Linked DNA regions of Drosophila melanogaster. The protein of the gene in region 2 interacts with the protein of the main gene of each other region in a pairwise test. Each region holds a gene or a part of one and is shown on either strand. Other genes may lie near its edges.

Evidence for each region. Proteins that work in one complex are often made in the same cells at the same time.
Region 1: the proteins of Pen (region 2) and Pomp interact in a two-hybrid assay, tested with the Drosophila melanogaster proteins (one large-scale study listed by BioGRID).
Region 3: the proteins of Pen (region 2) and Ccn interact in a two-hybrid assay, tested with the Drosophila melanogaster proteins (one large-scale study listed by BioGRID).

Annotation. Positions count from the first base shown.
Region 1 is NT_033779.5:20,785,974-20,789,614, reverse strand, and holds Pomp (pomp), read right to left. Parts: upstream 1,960-3,641; 5' UTR 1,833-1,959; coding exon 1,830-1,832; intron 1,766-1,829; coding exon 1,500-1,765; intron 1,213-1,499; coding exon 1,077-1,212; 3' UTR 517-1,076; downstream 1-516. Other genes in the region: vari (varicose), read left to right, coding at 1-29, 192-368.
Region 2 is NT_033779.5:10,055,097-10,060,623, forward strand, and holds Pen (pendulin), read left to right. Parts: upstream 1-1,803; 5' UTR 1,804-2,108; intron 2,109-2,525; 5' UTR 2,526-2,600; coding exon 2,601-2,663; intron 2,664-2,724; coding exon 2,725-3,038; intron 3,039-3,102; coding exon 3,103-3,673; intron 3,674-3,750; coding exon 3,751-4,371; 3' UTR 4,372-4,999; downstream 5,000-5,527. Other genes in the region: Cpr31A (cuticular protein 31A), read left to right, coding at 1-776. UniProt on the Drosophila melanogaster protein: Binds specifically and directly to substrates containing either a simple or bipartite NLS motif. Promotes docking of import substrates to the nuclear envelope. Seems to act as a cytosolic receptor for both simple and bipartite NLS motifs.
Region 3 is NT_037436.4:17,688,254-17,693,030, forward strand, and holds the start of Ccn (Ccn), read left to right. Parts: upstream 1-1,761; 5' UTR 1,762-2,222; intron 2,223-4,777.

The DNA of each region.
Region 1 (3,641 bases), about 11 Mb from region 2:
CGCTCGAGTCCCTAGCGTCGTTGTATGAGGTAATGTGCCCTGACCTATCCTTAATTACAGTGTCGTATAAATTGTGCTCAACTCAATCATCCGCTTGGCGCACCTAGGCCACCCTAGTAGCCCTGTTAGATCTCTGCCTGAATACCCAAACATTGCTTAACACATTCGCTTTCTATGACTTTTCCGAACAGGACGACGACCTTGTCGCCACCGTCGAGGAGAGCAGCTTCGTCCAGCGCAAGTATGAGAAATACTTCGACATGGTCATCGTGAACGAGGACTTCGATGAGACGTTCCGCCAGGTGGTGGAAACGCTGGATCAGATGAGCCACGAGGAGCAGTGGGTGCCTGTCAACTGGATCTACTAGAATCCCATGACCCTTTGCAATTGCGCCTTTATGCATATTGAAGAATATATACTATAAAAATCGAATGCCTATCATCACAATTAAAGGGATAATTCCAGTAATTGAAGCTTAAACTCGCAACACAATACAAATTTAGCGAAGAGCATTTAAAACGCTAGCGATTTCAATATTTATTGTTGATTAGACGTGTTTTGCTTGAGGAATGTAATGCGTTTTATTAACTATGTTTATCTCAATTACTGTCATTTTCCTCTTTAAATATAAATCATGTATATATGCAATGTTTGTATAAGTTGAAATGCGCCCTCCGTTTACAATTCAGTTTTCCTTAAGTATAAGCCTAATTTTACGAAACGAATTCGTCCATTTTACCATCTCTTGTTTTATTTTTACAAATAATGAATGATGTCAACGCATATCTCTTCAGTTTATTATTTTAACGAATCTCCTCAGTACAACAACCTTCTGCCAATATTTTCGTGTAGTTTTTAGATTTGTTTGAATAAAATGTGTAAGTTTAACGAACTAGTTAAATGTATTGATGTGGAGTTAAACAAACGAAATACGAATAAATTTGGCTCAAAGAAATGGTGAATTTTGTTTACCTCTAGCTGGTCGCACCAAAATATATTTTATTTGCTGATCTTAAGAGTGTCTTAGAGTTTAAAGGCTGAATGCCAGGCATTTAGCAACTTCATTTGCAGGGACTTATTGGTAAATTCCCAGAGATTTCTCCACCACAGCGTGGGGCTGACGCATATGCTCGCTGTTCTCGGGCAAGTTCATGAAGTCCTCGAAGCCAATGGAATCACAGCGGCCAGTCAGGACATCGTCCATGAAGTTGCTGCAATATAAAGGAAAGAATTAATATAGAAGATAAGTAGTCATTGCTGGGTTTTCGGTAATAATGGTACTATGGGAATCACAGGTATACTTGGTATACACGTATGTATGTATGTACGTATATAGGTATCCATTATTAGGCAAGAAGTTTAGATTTTCTAGATTGTAGGATATCTCAGGTTTCTCCGGGATTCTTATAATGTGGAAACAGAAGATTTCTGAATGCTTCCGCCCTTGCAGAGATTCCTGTCCAGACTGAGAAGCTCCCAGACCGGGCTAGATGCTCACCTGGACGAAAGGAAGGGCAGGCGGCCCACCTGACGTGCGGCGAAGCGCTCCATGCCCATCTTGAGGGGCACGCCGAGGCCCTCGTGGTTGCGCAGCATCTGCATGTTGCGGTTGTACTGGTGCTCGTTGTAGTTCAGCTCCGAGTCGCGCAGCCGGTGGACGTGGGCCAGTTGGTTCAGGCAGTTGGCCTCGGTGGGCATTCCCACACGGCCGGTGGCGTTCAGCACGGACACCTCGGCGGGCTGGACTTTCAGTGATGGCTGATACTGTATTGCGAGGGGTTTTCGTTTCGTTAGCGGCTCTACTAAATGCACTCGGCGAGGTACTTACCATATTCGTAAGCGCTTTTAGAATAAAAATGCGGCGAATTATAATTGTTTCTTGAATGACAAACAAATTCCGTGCGAATTAGAGCTGGTACTTGTGTCGATGCCTACTCGATATCGACGATAATTGACAAGATAATCGAATAGAAAGCAACTTATCGACTAGAATAGAATCCAGTAGTGTAGAAACCAGACTGGCAACTCTTTACATGTGTAGAAATCAGGATGGCAGCTCCAGACAATGCTAACATGGATTCAATCCATTTTGACCCACATAAATTTTAGCTCGGTTTCAAACCATTGCAGGGTACAAAAATGCGGCATGTCCGACAAGTGAATTTCGATTTGAAATTATGAACTCCAAATTTTCCAATCCAATTTGATTATTTAAACAAAATATTTCTATATATATAGCAACAACGCAGCACTATTTGAAATACACTTTAATTGTAATCGTGTTGATGGGTAAAAGTCGGTCTATGCAAATTGGCGTTATTAGCGCACTTAACACTTCGGTCAAGTGACGAACTTGAGTGTTGTGATTAATTACACCCTCGCTGGCCAGCAACGCACATCCGAAATATACAAACGTATCGATCTCGGCCGCAGCTCTAATCAATTCGATCAACAAAAGAACTGAATCCGCTGGCTGGCTGGCCGGGGTTTTGTTTTTCTTTTCACCCACACCTTTTAGCGGCTTTTATGATCTTCTGCTCCACAGAGACGCGATTCATTTGCATCGAGTGACAAACGCGAACGAATGCGAATGCGAGGAGACCAAATCACACGACAGGGCTTAATTAGTGCATGGTCACTAATAAAGATTCGGCCAGTGGATGTTGTGTTAATCAAACTCCCGCACACAATAGCCCAAACTGTCTCCGGCCAACCGATCCGATCCTATCCAATCTGAACTTGAAAATCCAAATGGAAACATCAACCGGATGGATGGATCTTCACCTTCACTTTAGACTAAAAGGTAGTACGTAAATTATGATTTATGCCCATTTACTGAATTTTACAGTGCGAAAAAAGCGAACTACATTCCTGCTTTGTAATTTACAACTTTAATCATTTTAATATTGGTATGGATGAGCATTGCAATACAAAGTCAAATAGTTTATAGCATGTATAGCTATAGTATTGATACAAAAACGTATTAGATAATTTAAAAGATCAGCCCTATTTTTAATGAATGAATTCTATATTAAGAAACTGACAAAATGATAAGTAAATTTAATCAGCAGACAATTCGAGAATTTACAATAAGAATATCGCAACGGGCATATTTATGGCGTCGAGTTGATAAAAATATCGTTAGTTTTTATTACTTTGAGATGCGATTCTTTCGGATGCAACTTATGGTGATTTAATCTATAAGTCTATAAATAAATTAAGTTAGAATAAACACAAATTACTCGCATCGATTTTAGCTTACTAGCATCGTTCCTTTGACTTATTTGTTAATACAATCATTTCAGTTCCCTGTGAATTTTGCCGCTTGAAGAGTTCAAAAGAACTCATACCACGATTGATTTATAACGTTTACTTTCTGTTTTACTGCCTTTGACCAATTAATACACAGTAGACCAGTACGAGGCGAATCAACCAATTCAGTCAGTCCAATATATGGCCATAAGGATGGCCAAGAGCCAACTATGTATGGTCGAATGGAGATGGAGATCTCAGGGCGAGAAGATCGATATGTAAAAGTCAAATAAAAATATAACGTCGAGAATTAACATTTTTTCACAGCAATAAATGCATAAAAGTCGAAGATGTGTATTCAAAAAAGAGAAGAGTCGTGGGTTCAACT
Region 2 (5,527 bases):
TCAAGGCGGTGGCTCCTGCTCCTCTCGCTCTGCCCGTTGCTGCGCCGGTGGTGAAGACCCTGGCTGCTGCTCCCGTGGTCGCTGCTCCAGTGGTCAAGACTGTGGCTGCTGCTCCCGCTGTACTGAAACAGGTAGAGTTGGAATCTTCGCCGCGCTACGACTTCTCCTACGGCGTTCACGACAGCATCACCGGCGATATCAAAAGCCAGGTGGAGACCCGTGACGGTGGCAATGTTGTGGGATCCTATTCCGTCCTGGATGCCGATGGTTTCAAGCGCACAGTGACCTACACCGCCGACGACATCAACGGATTCAATGCGGTGGTCCAGCGGGAACCGGTTGTCGCTGCCCGCGCAGTTGCTGCTCCAGTGGTTTCCGTCTCCGCTCCAGCTCCAGTTCCCGTCCATATTTCCTCCGCTCCCGTTGCCTCGCTGCCCGCTCCCATCTACTATCCACACCAGCAGGTGTTCGCCCCACAGCAGATTCAACAGGTTGCCGAGCAGCAGGGTGAGGTGGTGGAGTCTCCTGTGGCCCAACAGCCCGAGCTGGAACCCACTCCCATTGACTACAACGAGGGTCAGCAGCAGCAGCAGGAGCAGCAGCAGCAAACCTATCCCCAGGATCAGCAGTTCCCACCCTACTCGCCAGCTGGTCAATCCTCCCCAGCTCCTGACAGCGATGATTCCGACGTGGTGGAGGCACGATCTGCCCCGGAGGCCAGCAGCACCACCACCACCGCTGCTCCAGTTACGGAGGAGAACAAGAAGACGGCCTAGATTGGATTATGAACGGAAATATTGTTGAAATTAATAAGGAAATGAATAAAATACTTCGAGAATACATAAAAAATTGTCTACTAATTCAAATTAAATGTAGTTTAGTTACATTTATAAGCTGATAATTCAAAAGCTTAAATGCGGCGATTTTAATAATTAATTTACCACATTAATTTAGCGGATTACTTCTCAAAGAATCGAAAAACAAACAATTGAAAAAGGGACTAAATCGATTGGCAGCAATCATCTCTAAAAAAAATTTTGTTTATTTCTGACAACCGCATATAAACAAAATGAAAAGAGCATTAACCGGAAATATCTGCGCATTTATTGCATTATTACTGATAATCGAGAGATTAAATGGTATTAGTGCAATGATAACATATTTGCAAGCAAAAAAAAAGAGACAATCAAATTTTATATTTAAAGGTAGACAGATAAAATCAGTACCTTTTATTATCCAATTAAATATTGATTTAGGTGGCTATTTTTTGTCTTATTAAATATGGATAGAGCTTTACATTTTAACACATATTCGTTGAATAAATTAACAACAAAGATTGAACATAAATATTTATGGAAATTGTAATTGAAGCTTTTAAACGTATAGCCTTAATATTAAACATTATTAATATTATATTATTTTAAGATGAAGGTTTTCCTTACAAAAGTAAAGACGAGAAAGTAAAACATAAACATTTGTCATAAACATTTAAATGAGCCCGCGTGGTGTGCAGATTCAGCCGACTTCTATTCAGCTGTTGGCTGAATTTGGCTTGCATGCGCACACGTTCCACGTTCCACAACAACATATTGAAATCCAAAAGCTGCTTCACCACTTGGCAAGCGATCGTTAACAAGTTACACCAGAAATTTATATATACTAAAAAAATAATAAGTTACTTAAAAATTTAGTAATAATTATGTGGATATAAAAAATGTACATTATTTTTCTCTACGCGCCGTTGTCCGAAGTTAACAGCAAGATAACATGCGATATTAGGCACCTACGTTCACACTGGCATCAAATTTCGATAACTGACAAAGATCGATAGCCATCTGCGTTTCGTTCGCCACTAAGGCTTGCTTTTCAAATCAAACGGTAAATTCTGGCGGCGCCAAGCAGGCATTGACTCCAATTTCGCATCGATTACGAGAGTACTGTCTACGTTTGTCTACAGTTTCACCGACACATTCAGCGTGCTAACACGCTCGACAAATTCTCGTGCTCGCGTTTCGTTAGGGAACGATAAAAATTGTGTAAAAATTCAGTAAAGTGAATTTCCATTCGAAAAAGCCAGCACACGCATTCAAAAGGGCAAAGGTACAAAGGTAAGTGCGTGTGTACTCTTTTCTTCCTTTTCGCGGTTTTTCCCACTGCTTTTTACTAGCGTTCATCAATTTGACCGCCTCTTCGTGATCTCCTCTTCTCGTTCCCCTCTTTCCGCGAATCGGCAAATGGCGGCTGCTGCAGCTGTTGCCAACCAAAGGCGTAGTTCTTAACTCGCGGGGGCTTGAGCGATTGGGTGCCCCGTTAAAAATAATCTTGTAAATTAGTTGGCTTATGTTGGCTAACACATAGGAATAACATATCGAGTTGCTGGCCACAAAGAAAACCCCTTTTTTGAACTCATGGTTACGCCCCTGTTGCACGCCGAAAGGAATATAAAAGACAGAGATAAAAAAAAAGAACCCAAGCAGCCCTTGATTCTGCTTCTTCCTGACATTGACTCACATTTTCCTTTTCAGTTTCACACATTTCATCGCAGCAGCAAACATCTAAACTTTTAAAGAAAAAACACAAAACTCAAAAAAAAAAAAAAAATGAGTAAGGCGGATTCTAACTCACGACAGGGCTCCTACAAGGCCAACAGCATTAACACGCAGGTAATGTACACAAGATCCTCCGCAGAACTGCGTTCGGAACTAACCTCACTTTTTGCCCTAGGACTCACGCATGCGCCGCCATGAGGTGACCATCGAGCTGCGCAAGTCCAAAAAGGAGGACCAGATGTTCAAGCGGCGCAACATCAACGACGAGGATCTAACGTCGCCGCTCAAAGAGCTCAATGGCCAGTCGCCGGTGCAGCTGTCCGTGGACGAGATAGTGGCGGCCATGAACAGCGAGGATCAGGAGCGCCAGTTTCTGGGCATGCAGTCTGCCCGCAAGATGCTCAGTCGGGAGCGCAATCCACCCATCGACCTGATGATCGGCCATGGTATTGTGCCCATTTGCATACGCTTCCTGCAGAATACCAACAAGTGAGTAGTGGCTTTAGAATGTTGATGAGAGCATTATTGAATATCCCCTGATTCGCCGCTACAGCTCAATGCTGCAGTTCGAGGCCGCTTGGGCGCTTACCAACATCGCCTCTGGCACATCCGACCAAACGCGCTGCGTTATCGAACACAATGCTGTGCCGCATTTCGTGGCTCTGCTCCAGTCCAAGTCCATGAACCTGGCCGAGCAGGCAGTCTGGGCTCTGGGCAACATTGCCGGCGACGGAGCCGCCGCCCGCGACATTGTCATCCACCACAACGTAATTGACGGAATCTTGCCACTGATCAACAATGAGACACCGCTCTCTTTTCTGCGCAACATCGTCTGGCTGATGTCCAACCTGTGCCGGAACAAGAATCCATCGCCGCCATTCGATCAGGTGAAGCGGCTGTTGCCCGTCCTGTCGCAGCTTCTGCTTAGTCAGGACATCCAAGTGCTGGCCGACGCCTGCTGGGCTTTGTCCTACGTCACGGACGACGATAACACCAAGATCCAGGCTGTGGTCGACTCGGACGCAGTGCCGCGCCTGGTCAAACTGCTGCAAATGGACGAGCCGAGCATTATTGTGCCCGCCCTGCGCAGCGTTGGCAACATTGTGACTGGCACAGATCAACAGGTAGGAAAACAAATGATTTTAATCCTTATTGTTATAACATGCCTGACCGACCTGTTTTTTTTTTTTTTTTTTATTAGACTGACGTTGTAATTGCATCTGGAGGTTTACCAAGGCTGGGACTCCTTCTACAGCACAACAAAAGCAACATTGTGAAGGAGGCTGCCTGGACGGTCAGCAACATCACAGCAGGTAACCAGAAGCAGATCCAGGCTGTGATTCAGGCCGGCATCTTCCAGCAGCTGCGCACCGTGCTGGAGAAGGGTGATTTCAAGGCTCAAAAAGAGGCTGCCTGGGCGGTGACAAACACCACGACATCTGGCACTCCCGAACAGATCGTCGATCTAATTGAGAAGTACAAAATATTGAAGCCTTTTATCGATTTGCTGGACACAAAGGATCCGCGTACCATCAAGGTGGTGCAGACGGGCCTATCCAATCTGTTTGCCCTGGCGGAGAAACTTGGTGGCACCGAGAACCTATGCTTGATGGTCGAGGAGATGGGCGGTCTAGACAAGCTGGAAACTCTGCAGCAGCACGAGAACGAGGAGGTCTACAAGAAGGCCTACGCCATCATTGACACATACTTCAGCAACGGCGACGACGAGGCCGAGCAAGAGCTCGCACCTCAGGAGGTCAACGGAGCCCTCGAGTTCAATGCCACCCAGCCCAAGGCTCCCGAAGGTGGCTACACGTTCTAATCGCCCACCCCACACATTCCAAACTCCGCTCACACGCCTTACAAACAACTACACCTTCGACCGCGCTCACACACTATGCCATTGTCAAACATACGCATACTCATCATCACATCTTACAAACATTCCCAAACACTTTGGAGGTATGCATGGAAACACAGGCGAATGCATTAGCTTAAAGTCATAATTGAATCGGGTTGGCAAAATCCACTCGCATGAATCCCCATTTAACATACCCGTATTCCTCGCGTTAGACTAGACTTCACAGATTGCAGCATGGATCTTTCTGGCAGTGTTCCTCGTTCACGATGCAACCGCTCGGGCAGCTGCGCTGGCTGGGATCCGTGGATCATAGTATTTCCAGAATCCGTCTGTACAGGGGGCACCTTATGTTTGCGTGTACTAGGCTTTTTATTGGATACGTTTCGAGCTCATTTCGGATATATTTTAGGCTGTTTAGTATTTATTTATGTATACAGGAAACGCTTTTAATCCTCCACCTTCGCGCAAGCATTACAACAACAACAACAACAACAACAACTCATTCCCTTCACACCAGTGTCCTCATTCCCGAATCGCATGTTTATATTCAAAGTTGTCAATAAATAATGAATTGTTTGAATGATTAATTAAATTTCATGTGTATTTAAGCTGCATTTGAGCATTGCGAAAATTGGAGCCTATTTTTGGGCCTTGGCATTTTTTTTTGTATATTATTTGGAATGCTATTGGGATATACACCGATGCAGGCAATCGAATTTAAAATGTTATCCCTTCGATGCGCTGGCGCCTTTTGTCCGTAAATCCGCGATAAAAAGTCATGCAGTCAATACATGTTTTTTTTTTTGTCTTGTACATTTAAATCGCATTTGGGCCGTAAGCGGATAGCCGGAAGATTAAGAGCTATCTACCGCAGCCACGCCCACTCGAGCAGCGGTGGACAGCGACCCCAAAAAAGTTCCAGATTAGATATAATGATTAAACAACCGACGAGTGAGTAGTGAGTAGTAGTCTACTACTGGCACAGAACGCGCACCACGCACAACTCAATCAAGATGAATCGCAGCGTTCGTGGTTATTGCAGTGATCCAGAGGGTAAGCTTAATCAGTGGAGCGACGACGTCACATCAACAACCATGTCCACGTACGATCTTGTTCC
Region 3 (4,777 bases), on a different chromosome or scaffold from region 2:
GAGGGTAAGCCCGGCCGACATATTGAAATTCATAACTACATACAAAAACCAATTACAATATCAATTTAAAAGGGATTAAAATGGACCGGCCGGAGGCTTAAGCGGCTCCCAACGCCACTCGCCATCTAAGCTGCCGCTCCTGTTGGTCCTCCATGGTCAGAAGATGGCATATTTTGTGGCGTATTTAAGATTTGTTCCCTTCTAAAATTTGTGAAATTGCAAATTGTATTTGCCTGAGCCGTGACGAAACCCACAAACTTTTAAATTAAATTCTGAGCTAGCAGATTTTCATAATAAATAACGAGTCTTACACGAGTATAATCAGCCGTAATGCCATTGTGTAATGTAGAGATACACTGTATTCAACCAATACCGGGGCGGAACTTTCAACAAGTGGCGAATTCTTTGCGATTCGGTGTGTATTTTTGCATAATTTATTTACCCTGCTTGTTAAATCACAAATGCTGTACACAAAGAACCGCAATTTATGCGAGAGTATTGAAGTCTGTACACTGGACCAGGCCAAGATGCAATTTGGCTAAGTAAAGATGCCGATAAAGTGCAGTCGGATGGTGTGCAAATAGACTAAAAACATAAACTGCAGACGAGGCTAAGCAGCTCAAATGCATTAAATTTAAACGCTCGACTAAGCGGTTTAATTTGGAAAGTAGCAAAAAGCTTCGCCAATCTTTCATCGGACCAAGAATTCACTTCCTGTCCCTCCTCGACCACGTCCATTCATCGATTCGTCCATCCATCATGTCTATCAATGCCCGGGTCTTAGCCATGAGACAGATAAATCAGTTAAGCATCGTCATGTCAAGTTAACAGGCGATTACAAGGGCTTTACCTGACCAGATACGAAGCTTAAGACCATTGCGAGAGGTCAGCGAGGTTTAAGAGCATGTTTCAGTGAACCATTCGCCCTATTATCTATAATATGCAATAGTTCCTTGAACATAATGTTGGCCAATGAAAAAGTAAGCAGAAAAGAAGCAAAAATTTAAAAGTGGTATAGTCTCAATTAACTTAAGCACATATGTATTTGTAATCAAAAGCGAGGGCAATAAATCAAATAAGCTGGCGATTACAAAAGGCCGTCTGCATGCACCGATAGTTGATAAGCAATTGAGTGTGGGCGACGCAACAAGAGGATATCACGAAGGACACGAAGGATGGAAGCCTGCAGACCTCGGCTTGTTGATAAAAGAAATTAAACAGACAGCGCTGAAATAAAAGGGAAAACACAGAGGCAAAGAAGCATTAAGCCCACAAGACAATTGACAATGGGTGGGCCTGAAAATGGTTCAAGGATTCGAAGAGGGGTGTCCTTTTGGCAGGGGATCTGTGGCATTTGTCTCGACTGTCTCGTTGACATGACGTTGCGCGAATTGTGCGCCAGGATTGCTGTTGTGCGTTCTGTTGGCTGTGTTTTCGGTTTGCGAGTCGTCTGCCAACAAAGTGAGCAACACGCGCCGATGATTATGTTGCCGCTGACAACGACAACAACCACAGGAACAGCAGCAACACCTAAAGCAACAGCAATAACAGCAACACCAAAAGCAACATCAGCAACAGACTACTCCGAAAACGAGTGCCATTTTCGGAGTCCTGTTGGCGGCAAATGTCTTGTGGCACGAAGCTTTTCATTGACTAAAAGTGACGCATGCGCAGTTGGTCAGCCAACTTGGACTCCGATTTGAATTCAGTCCTCCGTCCTCAGTTTCAGTTCGTTTTTGTCACTCGTTCGTGCTGCACGGCACACGCGTCGTATGAGCGATATCACCTGGTCTTCTAAGACTGTTTTATTGGATTTTGGCGCAAGAAGGCAAAAAAGCCGGCTAAAGTGTCCCTCGTGGGTGTGTGTACGTGTGTTGCCGGAAATACTTTGAGCAATCGAAACGACAAAAGGCGAATAAAAAAAGATAGAAACCAAAACAAAAGTCTAAGCAAATTAACTTGGCCCATTCGTTGTATTGCGAGTATTGTTCTAGTGGTTATATTATGTTTGGGGTTTTTTGCCCAGCCCTCCTGCCAGCACGAAAGTAGGTTAATTGACGTGTGTTGCGGGCGTATCTACAAGGAAAATAATAAAAAAAAGTACCTAGAAGTAGAAAAACAAATACACGAGCAGCCAGTGAAGTGGTCAATTGCCACTGCCAGGGGTCTCTGAACCCCCTCGATAAATCAAAAGTGTGGGCAGAAAGTCCGGCTAATTTAAGGTATGTCAAATGGTATACTTATTGTTGAATATTTTATTATAATATTGCTAAAAATACAAGTTTAATCAACACTGACCGCAGTGTTAATGCGTTTATTTTGACGTTTGTGCCATTGGCTTCAAATAAATCTACATAATGTGGCAAAAATGGAGGTTCAATGCACTAGCAAATATCTATTGTTTTTAGTTGAACGAATTTTGTGCTGATTATTTGTTTCTACGTTGGACAATTTTAATTAGTTCGTGCATTGAGCAAGCATCGATTAATAGGTAATATATAACCCTAAAAAAATTTGAAGCACAAGTGTGGAAGTAATTTTAAACGAACGTCATTGTTTTATTGTTTTAAAAGCTACCATATTAAAGCGATAAGCTTCCAATTAAAAGTTAATGGGAGTGTTAAGTGTTAAATATTTGCATTAATGTGAGGCATTTAATTTTTTTTTTAGCCAAGTTTGTGGTGGTATGAGTAGAGTATGAGATAAATAGTTTCTTTTGTTATTATATTGCGGTAAATGATGTATTTCTCTTGATAAAAATAAAAATGCGGTATATTTTTTTAAATTACCCATCGAAAAAAAGTTTCGCATGCCAATGCGACAATTGACACTGCAGCAAACAGAAAAAAAGGACATAATACAAAGGGGAATAACATTGCGTAAACAAAAATAAACATATGCAAAATAAACTTCAAACAAATGTTGCCGCACCGAGTTTTGGGCCATCAAAACAAACAGAGAACACAAAAAAGGATAAAAACAGAACAAAAAAATTGAAACCGAAGTGAGCAACGCGGGGAAGTGGGTTCATGGTCGGTTGCGAATCGGTGCCTTAGAGGCAACTTTGTTGCACAAAATTTATTAATTTTTTTTTTCGCCAAGTGCGTGCTTGTGTGTGTGTGTGTGCGGTGTGTGTGTCAAATTTAAAAGCATTCTTTCCAGTTGCCTTTGGACGGGGGATGTCCTGGCAGCTGCCTTTTTGTTTTATTATTTTGCGGAAGCTGCGAACCAACATTTATAAAAAGGTTTTTCTTGCTCGTCCTGCTACGTGAGCCATGCACACACAAACACACCAACACACACACACACACAACATACATGCCCACACCCACAGACGCACATTGCTGTGCATTACCGTTATTTTATGACGGAAGTACATTTAAGCAGATTTTTTCTCACAGAACTCCCGCTCCCTTCAACCGAACTGGAAAAAAGGGCTGCCAAAAATGTACAAAAAAAAAAATTGGGAAACCGAGGAAATTTAAATATTTTCTTTTACGCTGTGCTTTTCATTTGCCAGTCTCGCTAAAATTTATGACCAACAAAATTGGAATATTCCCCAAAACAACAGTAGCAACAATAAAGCCAAGACAAAGTTCGCTTCGATGGCCGTAAAAAATAAGAAACCTTTACGAAGCGTTTCGATGAAAAATAACCATCCAGAATTTGAATCAAGTAAGAAAACATTGAAATACTCGATTAAATAAGCAACTTAATACTCAAAATATAGAAACAGATGACTAGATTAATTTTGTATGGTAGTGATTTGTTGTATTATTTGTATTTGTTGTATTTGTTGTGAAATGATGTATTATGCTTTTGATTTGAAAACAGAATGTTTGATAGCATATCATAAAATTTATATTAAGCCATTCCGCAAATTGAACTCGAGAAGTTATGAAAATGATAAGCTTCATAAACCAAATACTTTTCAAATGAACTCCTCCGCACCCTAGGCACATATTATATTAATTGAAATTTAATACAATTACCAGGCGAATGTGTGGAAAGCCAAGTGAAAGTCGGCAGCCAAAACACACATAAATTCAAGCCAAACACACACGCATTCCATGTTGGGAAGGCAAGGAGATTTCTTGCCAAGTAAGTGACTCAATAAATAAATTTACTTGCCAACTTTTTGCCTTGTTGTTGCGGCCTTGGGGGACTGATTGTTGCTTTCTCAAGGTAGATTTGCGTTGGCATGCTCTCCCCGTCGAAGGATCTGAAAAATACTGTAGCCGTAATAAACAACACTTGATCGAGGACGGGGGCACAAAGTTAAGTGTGCTTTACTGGGGCACGCGAAATAAATTTCTGGAATTTAACAAGATGAACGAGAATAGCAGGAGACAATTCTTTTTCAAAACGAGACCTCCTAATAAGATGTTGTTGAAATAGAAATTTGAGTAACATGCTGATTGTATTTATCGGAATAAATTGGTAGAGTATTCTACAACAACTGCCAATTTAAATCCCCGACTTTTCACTTATTTTTCATGAGCCACTTTAAGCTGTGAATTATACCACGCCAAGTATTATGATCTGATCTGAGCGAGGGTCGTAAAGCGGAATCCTCAAGAATACGAACTTGAATTTGCACAGCATTAGCACAGACTGTGGGGGTATCTAGAAAACAAAGACTGGGGTGGGAGGGCGTTTTTTACTCGCGCTTTTATTAAGTAAGTGAGCTATTCAAAATCAAAGCAGCGGAAAAATCCGCATCGCCCAGGGGCGAACGGTGTGGCAAAATGTGTCCGCCGATTGTCAGGCAAATGTC